3 linked regions of the Sus scrofa genome follow. The protein of the gene in region 3 interacts with the protein of the main gene of each other region in a pairwise test. Links are inferred from orthologs where the notes say so. Each region holds a gene or a part of one and is shown on either strand. Other genes may lie near its edges.

Evidence for each region.
Region 1: the proteins of NAV2 (region 3) and RBM15 interact in binary tests that used the Homo sapiens proteins (3 or more experiments, as listed by UniProt). The two-hybrid records come from large-scale screens. The link is inferred for Sus scrofa from reciprocal best matches to the Homo sapiens genes NAV2 and RBM15.
Region 2: the proteins of NAV2 (region 3) and ING5 interact in binary tests that used the Homo sapiens proteins (3 or more experiments, as listed by UniProt). The two-hybrid records come from large-scale screens. The link is inferred for Sus scrofa from reciprocal best matches to the Homo sapiens genes NAV2 and ING5.

Annotation. Positions count from the first base shown.
Region 1 is NC_010446.5:109,788,717-109,792,894, forward strand, and holds the start of RBM15 (putative RNA-binding protein 15), read right to left. Parts: upstream 2,840-4,178; 5' UTR 1-2,839. UniProt on the Homo sapiens protein: RNA-binding protein that acts as a key regulator of N6-methyladenosine (m6A) methylation of RNAs, thereby regulating different processes, such as hematopoietic cell homeostasis, alternative splicing of mRNAs and X chromosome inactivation mediated by Xist RNA.
Region 2 is NC_010457.5:140,263,397-140,267,546, reverse strand, and holds the start of ING5 (inhibitor of growth protein 5), read right to left. Parts: upstream 2,840-4,150; 5' UTR 2,767-2,839; coding exon 2,730-2,766; intron 686-2,729; coding exon 614-685; intron 1-613. UniProt on the Homo sapiens protein: Component of the HBO1 complex, which specifically mediates acetylation of histone H3 at 'Lys-14' (H3K14ac) and, to a lower extent, acetylation of histone H4. Component of the MOZ/MORF complex which has a histone H3 acetyltransferase activity.
Region 3 is NC_010444.4:39,266,030-39,268,715, forward strand, and holds part of NAV2 (neuron navigator 2), read right to left. Parts: intron 1,351-2,686; coding exon 1,225-1,350; 3' UTR 1-1,224. UniProt on the Homo sapiens protein: Possesses 3' to 5' helicase activity and exonuclease activity. Involved in neuronal development, specifically in the development of different sensory organs.

The DNA of each region.
Region 1 (4,178 bases), on a different chromosome or scaffold from region 3:
ATCTGTTTCAAGGTTCTATTAACACAACACAAATTTAAAGTTAAGCCACTTTAACTAGTGTTATAGCCAATCCAAATAAATTAAGCTCCCAGGTGATTATTTTTGACCTAAATTGACTTGCTTAGATGACTCACTGGTCAAAAAAAAGACCAAATAAGTTTAGTTTCCTAAGCCTCACGATATAGACTGAGGGAGCATGAAAGTTGAAGGAGAAATTCAGGGAGCCTATACTGGTATGTGTGGCAGTGGCCAGGGCTCTGCTAGGCTTAGTGGCTTGCCATTCAAAATACCAGAAAGCTTGATGGAAGCTATTGCCCACATGTGGCTGCAGCAGGAAGGCTTAGCTAAGCGGGGGTGGGGGGGGGGTGACAGCCTATCTCGTATCAAGAGGACTGGTAAATTAATGGGTAGACAGAAATAGCCTGGATTCCATTATCTCTTTTGATAACTAGAGTCAAAACATAATTGTGTGTGTGTGCACACGTACAAGTGTCCACGACAGAAGTGAAAAATGACATGGTATGTTGATCCAAGCTATAGTTAAAATAAGTGATTTGTTTTCATTTTCTTTGTGTTCTTTAAAGTATGAAGTGCCTTAGTGAGGGTGTATCAGCCTATGTTCACACATGTGCTTTAGAGAGGGCTGAAAGAGGATAAAAGTGACCCATGGTTTAGAAAGCCAAGACTGAGCACTTTTTCTAGTGTTGGTGATGGAGCTGTTGAGGTCCCGTCCAGGCTTTCATCTGGTCTTGTGATCTCTGGCCAGATTTGCGAGGGTAACTGGCCCGGTGAAGAGGATCTTTCAGCGGTCAGGAAAACACAGATTCCCTGAGCATCAGAGCAGCATGTTGATCTCTCCTTTCAATGCCTTGTCAGAAACCAAAAAATAGTGTTGAGGAAAGTAGCCATTGCCTATTCTGACCTCAATGCTGACCCCTTGGAGCCTTGGAGCTGTACAACTCAAACGCCCTAGAGGAAACAGCCCAGGCGGAGAGCAAACATAGCTAAGCTGTCTAAATGAAGTGCTTTCTCCGTCTCCTATAAAATCAGTTTTAGATTAAAAAGGAAAAGCAAAATAAAAGTTATGCACATGAAAGAAAGTTGTGCAATTAAAAGGTATCAGTGTTTTCAATCAAATGTGCTCTTTCCACCCCTTCCTTCCTATGTTTTATTATTTGTGTATTCTCAATACACACAGAGACAGTTATGATTACAATATGAAATTTGTCCTGGGCGCTGAAAGCCATTTGATTTCCTGGCAGATGCAAAAAAAAAAAAACCCTGAAGCTGGGGATTTAAAAAACAATTCTCCCGCTCATAGTAGTAGATTAAAATTTTCTGTTTCATTTTCTTGCAAAGTGAGTGGTCTCCTGACTGTAATGCTTGTTTTGTTTGCAGAATACGTCTCTTTTACCCATAGACATATATGCAATAGCTAAAATAGCAAACAATCACTTAGAACACAGTTTGCATCCTAAAGTCATTTATTTGTGGTTTGTGGGGGTTTTTTTTTAAAAAAAAGCTTTATTAAGATATAATTTATATACCATAAAGTTTACCCATTTAGAGCTTACAATTCATTGGTTTTTAGTATACTTAAAGAGCTGTGCGTGTGGCTCATCCTGCAGCACTGTTACAGAAAGCCTCTGCTATAATTTCTCCTAGGTGACTAAGCCCTAATATAATTATCTCTTTCATTTATTTAGACATTTTATAGGGCAGTAGTTAAGAGCATGAACTCTAGAACCAGCTAGCCTGGATTAAATCCCAGCTCTGCTGTGGGTCTCAAAAGAGTTACTGTTAATCCCTCTGAGCCTTTATTTTCTCATCTATAAAATGGGAACAATCATAGAACCTCTTTACTGGGAGGATTAAAAGGGTTAAAATATATGGTTGGCATCCTCAGAGTCAACCAACCATGGGTCATCTGACTGTACAAGGAGCTTAGAAGAGTGCCTGGCACATGGTAAGCATATATTGCTATCACTAGTATATTTTCTCTTTGAACTTAAGTACGTAGAATTGAATTAATCACAATCCTTAGTTCATGACACACAATCATCAGTGGTTCATCTATGGGCCTTTAAACTTTTCACTTAGTCAAGAACATAATGAATACCCATGAACCTATCATTCAATCCAACAAGTAGAAAGTTACCAATAATCTGCATCTACCTAAATGTTCCTCCCTTATCCACTGCCTACCCTCATAGATAGCAACTATCCTGAACCTGGTATTTAGCAATCCCTTGTTTTGTTTTAAAAACTTAAAAAAATTTTTAAGGAACTTTAAGGAATCCATATATGTGTATGCGTGCAAATGTGTGTTCACGCACATGCACATACATGCGCCTTAAATGTATGTTATTTTAGTTTTGCTCGTTTTGTAACTTCATACTAACTTGTAATCTGAGATTTGCATTTTTCACTCATTATGTTACTATGACTCTTTTTTATTATCAGAAGACTTTCAAGAAATGGATCATTTCCTTCTCTTTTGATGTTCTGAGATTGTTATGCTGCCATATGATCTAATACGGCTTTTCAAGTTCCAGCCATAAAATAACCATTCCAGTCACCCAGCGGGTGAAGATGGAACAACATGTCCTCCTCCTTTTAAGACACTTCCCAGAAGTGACTCACTAAAACTCCGCTTCTATCTCATTCACCAAAACATAGACCTGCAACCACACTTAGCAAGGAATGCTGGGGGGTATAATTCTGTATCTTACTTTAGCCCAACTAAAAATCAGGAGTCTTAAAAAGAAAAAAATTTATTGAAACTTCGTTCATTTACAATGTTGTGCCAATTTCTGCTGTACAGCAAAGTGACCCAGCTCTACATTCTTTTTCTTACATTATCTTCCATCATGGTCTCTTCCAGGAGATAGTTCCCTGTGCTATACAGTAGGACCTTATTTTTTAGCCATTCTAAATGTAATAGTTTGCATCCACTAATCCCAAACTCCCAGTCTATCTCACTCCCTCCCCCTTCCCCTTGGCAACCACAAGTCTGTTTTCTGCCTCTGTGAGTCTGTTTCTGTTCTGTAGATAGGTTCATTTGTGCCATATTTTAGATTCTACATGTAAGTGATATCATATGGTATTTGTTTTTCAGGGGTCTTATTTCTAAGGAAAAGAGGGAGAACAGGTCTTGGGGTCACCAACAGTCTCTTCCACAACTACCTACAGGGTGAATTTCAAGACACAATGTATATAAAGCTGATGGTACATACTTAGCAAGAGTCAATTAAAACAGTCATTTTATGATTTCCCTTACATTATCCAATTTAATCCTCATAGTAATCATATGCGTTAGGGCAAATATGATTATCTTAATTGCAGACTTGGAAACTGAGATTTAGAGAGGCTAATTACAGCTGTGCCAGTGGTGGTAATTTTTGTTTGTTTTGTTTTAAAGAAAGAGGCAGTAGAGTCAAAGGGAAAGGAGCAGGAGCCCAAATCTAGAGTCCTAGCTTCTCTTGACAAAATCTGCCTCCCATAAAATCCTAGAATTCTATGTTCTGTGACTTTCTGGATCTGGCACATAAATCCGCAGGGTGTGGGACAGAACCTGAGGCCAGTAACTACCACTGTGGGTCGCTTTCCACCATATCCCGTGTGAACCTGGTTGTTGGAAACGACATGCTCTTCAGCAGCAGCCTCTCCTTCCCACAGGTTGAAATCTGAACAAATAAATGAGATTACATAACTCACAACTAGATAATAAAAATAAAAGCCAGCCTTTACTGAGTAATGACATACCAGGTGCTCTGCTAAAACTTTCCTCCCATTGGCTTGCTTTAGCCTCGCAACAACCTGTGGAGATGGATAGGCTTATAATTCTCTCTTTTTTTTTTTATCAGTTAAGGAAACTGAGGTTTAGAGAGCCAATATAATTTACAGATATTTAAGAAGAATAATATATGTCCTATAGAATTATTTGTTTTTTTTCCCAGTCTGTGAAAAGCATTTGTTTTGAAGTCATCCTTACATATTATGGGTGACTCCCCAGTGTTCATTCTCCCCTTCTTTGCAGTACTTTGACAGGAAAATATTTTATAACAAATGATATAGACAATTCCTTAGGTAACTAATGTAGTGGGAAAATACATAGTAACTGTGTTAGTATCTGCCTGCTTTAAGAATGGTGCTTTACTATTTACAATAGCCAAGAC
Region 2 (4,150 bases), on a different chromosome or scaffold from region 3:
TTTAAGGCTGCACCCGCGGCATGTGGAGGTTCCCAGGCTAGGGGTCTAATCGGAGCTGTAGCCGCCGACCTACACCACAGCCACAGCAATGCCAGACCCGAGCCGCATCTGCGATCTCCACCATAGCTCACAGCAACACCCGATCCTTAACCCACTGAGGGAGGCCAGGAATCAAAACTGCATCCTCATGGATGCTAGTCAGGTTCACTAACCACTGAGCCACGAGAGGAACTCCCTAAGTTTGATTTTAAAGAATCATGGTGTGCCCACTGCGGCGCAGCAGAAACGAATCCAATCTATCGATGAGGATGCGGGTTTGATCCCTGGCCTTGCTCGGGGATCTGGCTTTGCGGTGAGCTGGGGTGTAGGCCAGCAACTGCAGCTCCAATTCAACCCCTAGTCTGGGAACTTCCATATGCTGTGGGTGTGGCCCTTAAAGAAAAGCAAAGAAAAGAGAATCAGCAGTCTCCCTGAGACACCACCCAGGGCACGGGCCTGGACAGCAGCCCCACACCAGGTCCCCTGCAGGACTGGTGCCATCCCAGGATCCTGGTGCTCCAGTCCCCAGGGTATCAGGGCCCAGCTCTGGCTGTGCTGAGAGGCCCGAACCCACCTTCCGTCCTCTGGTCCAGCTCTCGCATCAGCTGGAAGTTCCTCTGAAGTTCACAGGGAAGGTTCTCGATACCTGAAACACAAAGACAGGATTAAGATATCCTTTTTGAGCGACTTGTGCCAAACTCTGAACATGCTGGTAAGAGGCTGACACGCTCCAGAGGCTGTCAGAAGCTCGAGAAGGTAGAGGTGAAAGCAGAAACGAGGTGCAAGCAGAGGCAGGAAGATGCCGTGGGATTCTTCCACTCCAAGGCCCAGGTCACCCCTCCCCGGCAGACACCTCTTCCCAGGGAACATGTCCCAAACCCGGAGGCCCCCCCATCTCCCTCCACTTGACTCTGAACTCCAGGGCATCGGGGGCCGGCCAGTGCTGCACGTGGGACTTTATGAGGATGGAGCCACATGGAGCTACCAAGCCCCTGAAACGGGCAAGTATGCAGAGGGACTCAAGTTCTCCTCTTACTCAGGGTTATTTAAAATTAAACAGACGGCAACGGACAGCATAGGTGGAGGGCCCTGCCCCGCTGCTCTCACACCTGCACGCAGCCCTCTCAGTCCAGCCTCGGCCCCGCCGCAGCTGATCACTTTAGGAGCTACATCTGCTCCAAGCCCCACTCCCAGCCCACCCAGGGAGCAGCACAGATGCCATCCTGGCCTCCAGGCCCACCACGCCCTCGAGTGGACCCCCTGCTATCCTAGTGCGGCTGCCAGAACAGTGCCACCCCTGCACTGTCATGATCTCCTGGGCTCCTTCATGGCCTGGAAACTTCTATTTGCCCCACTCAATAGTGAGTTTCAGGAAAAGGAAGAATCATGTCTGCCTTCCTGGAACACAGCCGGCGCTCAAGGTCCCAAGCCTTCACACAGGAGCCCCACACAGGACAGAACTCAAGTCCCTCAGTCCCTCCACAGGGGCCCACCAGGCAGGCTCCAGGCCAGAGAAGGGCAAGCCGCAGTGCCACCCAGCAGACACCTAGGGCGGGCCCCCTAATGACACTGCTGGGGAAACCTCTCCCTCCACTGTGTTCTCCCACCCAGGACCCTGTGCTCACGGGGGGCCAGGTGAGCAGAATAAACGGCCAGGACTGAGCAACCCCCTGGGAGGGCTGGATCCTCGCCATCTTCCCCAGAGCAGGGGGTCACGCCCTACTCTCAGCAACCTCGGGTGGAGCTCCCAGCCCAGAGTGACTCTGAACACCCAGTGCTCCAGAGCCACCTGACCCAGCCCCCACCCAGGCCAACTCCCAGCCAGAGCCAGGCAGCAGTGTTTAAAGCTAGGGTCTCCACTCTCCAGTGCTCAACTGTGACAAGCTACTAAGCCTCTGCAGGCAACACCACCCCCTCTGTGAAAAGCGTGAACAACCACCTGCTCAGGAGTCCTCCAGAGATGGCTATGGCTCAGTGGTGATGACCACTGCCCTGAACACCCTACCCAGCCCTGGAAGCTGCGCCCCCAAACCCCCTGCACAAAGACAGGTGCCCTGGGGGACCCTCCACATCAGTATGCCTAGTAGATGCACAAACTGGGACTCGAAAGCAATTCCCAGGTCACAGCACAAGTAGGCAAGGAATCCAGGCCCTCCAAGCTCGCCAGGCCCTGGGACCCCCAAACCCGGCCCAGAGTCCAAGAGGACTGGGTCTCAACCACCTTGGTGGGCCACCTCGGTGGGGAAGAGCAGGGAACCAGGTAAGGCAAGGCCCCGCTGGGAAGGAGCGAGGCCCGGTGGAGAGGGCGGGGCATACGTCGAAGCGGGCGGTGCCTAGGAGGCGGTGGGCGGTGCCTGGTCGCGGGCGGAGCCTTCGGTGAGTGGGCGTGGTCGGGTCGGGAGGGTAGGGCGGGGCCGCGCTGGCCCCGCCCCGGCCGCGCCGGCCCCTCCCCGCCGTGACGCATCTGGAATTGGCGCGGCCGTGATGGCGGGACCCCGTGCCGCGCCCCCTGCGCGCCCCTCCCCCGTGGCCCCGCCTGCCCCGCGCGCGCCCCCGCTGCCTTTGCCGCCGGGCCGCCCCGCCGCCCCCACGAGCCCCGGGGTCCGTGTGCGGAGCCTGACGCGCGAAGGAGGCGCGGCGGGGGCGCCCCGGCGTGGGTGGCGGGCCTGGGTGGGGCGGGGGACGCTTACTGTCCAGGTAGTGCTCCAAGTACATGGCGGTCGCCATCTTCGTCCGCGGCCGCGCTCTGGGTCTGCGCGGGCGGTGGCGCCGCGGGAGGCGGAGGCGGGGCCGGCGTGGTCACTATTAATGAGCCCAGCGCGCTGATTGGGCGGACGCCGGGGCGGGGCTCCTCTGGGCACGCCCCCCGGCTTCCGGTCGGGGTCGCGGCGGGGCGGTCGGAGCAGGTGCGGGGCTGCGAGGTGCGCGAGCACGCTCGGCCTCTGGAGGTTTTCGGGGGCTGGTGGGGGTGGCGGGTGGCGCCGTTTCATCAGCGAAAATGCCGGTGTAAAGATACACCCCTTCTGTTGAACTCTTCCGTAAACCCCAGGCAGATATTTAAAAGTGGAAGCACATTCATTGTTTTGTCAATTTTACCTTCGTTATAGAAATTCAAGCTGTTCAGGGAAAGGAAAATTTCCAACCTCCCCAAGGAACAGAACTGTGATTATGTTGCTCACCTTTCAACCAAATGTTTGCAGTTTCCATGCAACCGTTCTGGCCCGATTCAATGCTTGATGTGAAACTGCACACACACGCTGGCGGAGCTAATTGCATACTACCCACTTTCTTTATTAAGTAGGTGTTTTTATTAATAACTTTATTTTTAGAGCAGTTTTTGGTTATCAGAAAAATTGAGAAGGAAACAGTTCTTATATACCCCCTCCACACACACACAGTTTCCCTTATGAACATTTTCGGAGTTCCTGTCATGGCTCAGAGGAAACGAATCTGACTAGGAACCATGAGGTTGTGGGTTCGATCCCTGGCCTCGCTCTGTGGGTGCAGGATCTGGCGTTGCCGTGAGTTGTGGTGTAGGTCTCAGCCATGGCTCAGATCCCATGTTTCTGTGGCTGTGGTGTAGGCTGGCAGCTGCAGCTCCAATTGAACCCCTAGCCTGGGAACCTCCAAATGCCACGGATGTGGCCCTAAAAAAATAAAAAAACATTTTCCATTTCTGGGGTACATTTACTACAACTGATGAAACCATATCGATTTTCCATTAGGAGTCATTCTGTGTGGTAAGACTATGTTAAGTACCCACCAATACAGTTTCATACAAAATAGTTGCTCTGCCTTTAAAATGGCCTGCTCCACCCATGCATCTCTCTCCCTGCCCCAGCCCCTGGCTTGGTCTCTGGTTCTGCCTCTTCCAGACTGTCATGTAGTTGAAATCAAACAGCATGTAGCCCTTTCAGATTGACTTCTTTCTTTTAGTAATAAGCTTTTGGGGGGGCGCACCCATAGCATGTGGAAGTTCCCAGGCCAGGGATCAAATCTGAGCTGCAGCTGTGACCTGTACCACCTATGGCCACAGCTGCAGCAATTCCATATCCTTAATCCACTGTGCTGGGCCAGGAGTCAAACCCAGAGCTGCCACAGAGCTAACCCT
Region 3 (2,686 bases):
TTTGCGAGGTGACCTCACACCCCACCTGAGGTCGGGGCTGGCACGCTGGAGGTGGCGACGTGTGTCCTGCGGCCTTGGGGACGAGGAGGAAAGGCAAGGTCCCGCTCGCCCACCGGCGGAGGATGGGGGGTCCTGGTCCACCAGCCAGGGACACAGTGACCCCAGCCCCAGCAGGAGGCGGCGTGTGTGCAGAACGGGGAGGATGGGCAATTGAAAATGAAAACTCAGCAGGACCGAACCCAAACCCAACTCCTGCGGCTCTCGTGTTCACCAAAGGATGGATTTCTGACCATGAGGGGAGGCAGAGGGAGAGGGAGAAAAAAAATCTTCAAAATCAAAAGTCAGAAGAGGAGAAACTCAACCTCATTTTCAAAGGGGTGAGCAGTTCGTCCAAGTAGACCAGTTCTCACTGGACACAGTGTTAGAGCAGGAACAAGACCGGATTGGCTTACACACGAGAGGGACGCAGACACGTGCTGTTCTGCCGTGACAGCGACTTCTGCTTGGTCACATTCTCACTCCTTCACTCTCGCTCATGGATGAACCGGAGGCTGATGCATCTGAAAGGTGGGGGTGAACCGGAACAGGCAAGGTACCGCTCGGGAAGGAGAGCACCATTTAAAAAAAAAAGAGAAAGCGCGGGTTTTCCTAAGGCTTCCATGGGATGCAGCTCTGGGCCCCCTGCTTGCACCAGATCTCTGTGTGGCTGGCGGGGTCGGGGGGCAATGGCGGGACATGGGGTGGAGGCTGTAAGACCTGGGCTGCAGGAAGCTGTGCTCCAGGGAAGCCTGTGGTTTCCGTTCCCAACTTTGCCCTAGTCTCTTCTGTCTCTGGACAGGATGCTGTTTGGCTTCGGAGCTTCAAGTGGGTTTCTTTTCTTTTCTTTTTTTTTTTTTTCCACCCTTTTATTTCAACGGTGATGATCCTTTCCCGAGAAGTATCTTTCAGTGTCTTAGGGAGGTCACAGCAACAAGGCAAAACAATAATTAAAACAGAAGCTAGTGCAGTTCTCACTGAGGAAGGGAGTGGGCCGAGGCGGCTGGCCCGGGATGCCCGCACCCAGGTCAGGGCTGGAGGACGAGGGGGGCTGGGTCTTCCTGCAGCGCTCACGCCGCAGCCAGGGGCTGGCTCAGGAGGGCATCTTCAGGATGGTGCAGAGGATGCAGGTGGAGAGGGTGGGAGGGTGGAGTGGGGAGGAGGGCAGGCGCCGTGGCCCGGCCCCCGTCACAGAGTCGACTCCAGGGATGAGTCCAGGATGTCGTCGTGATGGCTGTTGCTGTTGGAGTCGCTGTCGTAGCTCTGGGGGCTGGAATAGTTGGCTGCTTCCTGCAGCCTCATCAGCATGTTCATCTGGGGAGAGAGCAGAAAGCGTGAGCGGCTTTCAATCCAGCCAGTCCCCCTCCTCTGGCCTCTCAGAAGTTCATGCCACCTCCTCCAGACTCACCTGGGGACTGCCGCCCACAGTGAAGGCAGATAAGAGTATGGACAAGAGCATGACTCTGGGCCAGGCTTCCAGGGTTCAAATCTGGGCTCCACCACTTCCTAGATGCAGGACCTTGGGCAAGTTACTTAATCTCTACACCTCAGTTTCTTCACTGTTTGCACGTGAATAACTGTACCTCTCCTATGCAGTTACGGTGTGGATTAAGGTGATATATGTAGAGCACTGAAAACCGAATAGAAGGTCCCCTATAAAGACGATATTTATTTTTTACTTGGGAGGGGCACCTTACCCACACAGAGTCCTCAGGCTGGGTGGGATGCCAGCACCACTGACCTCAAAGCACATGGTTCCCCCTTCAAGGAGCATCAAGCCCATCTGTACCCCAGCTCTGGCCAGAGGGCAGCCTGGAGTCACCTGTGCTCCAGGCTCCTGTCAAGGCCTCGATGGGGAGGTCAGGGTAGGGCAGCACCAGGTACAAGCTGAGCCTCAGGGCCCAGAGAGGCCTGGATTCCAATACAGAAACATTTGGGCGATCATTTAATATATCTGAGCCACCATAACTTCCTCTCCAGAATGCAGAGAATAGCAGCAGGTATCCCATAGGGTGAAGTAGGGAACAAAACGACACGATGTGTATTAAACCCTTAGAACAGGGCCCACACATAGTAACTGCTCAATAAGTGTGATAAATCCGCTATCATCATCACCATCATATGTCTCTCTCTTTTTTTTTCTTGTTACAGTTGCACCTGTAGCAGATGGAGGTTCCCAGGCTAGGGGTCAAATCGGAGCTGCAGCTGCTGGCCAACACCACAGCCACAGCAATGCAGGATTCGAGTTGCATCTGTGACCTACACCACAGCTCATGACATCATGGATTCTTAACCCACTGAGCGAGGGATCGAACCCACATCCTCATGGATACGTGTCAGGTTCTTAACCCACTGAACCACAGTGGGAACTCCACCATCATCTGTCTTAAACAAGAGTTTAAGGACTGTGTCCTCGTATATCCCCTGGTCTATAGTCTCCTGGTCATTTGCGTGGGCGTGGAGACAAGGAACTAAACACTACTTTGACTTTATTTATAACCATAAATGACGTGTGTATGTATTTGATAATTAGGAAGATAGGGTCTCTCTGAGAGACCTGGTACAGCTGGGTGTGAAATCCAGCTGCACTCTGGCCAGCTGCCTCCCAGGATGCCCAGCAGAGCGTGCTTGGTGAGCCAAGCACAGGAGC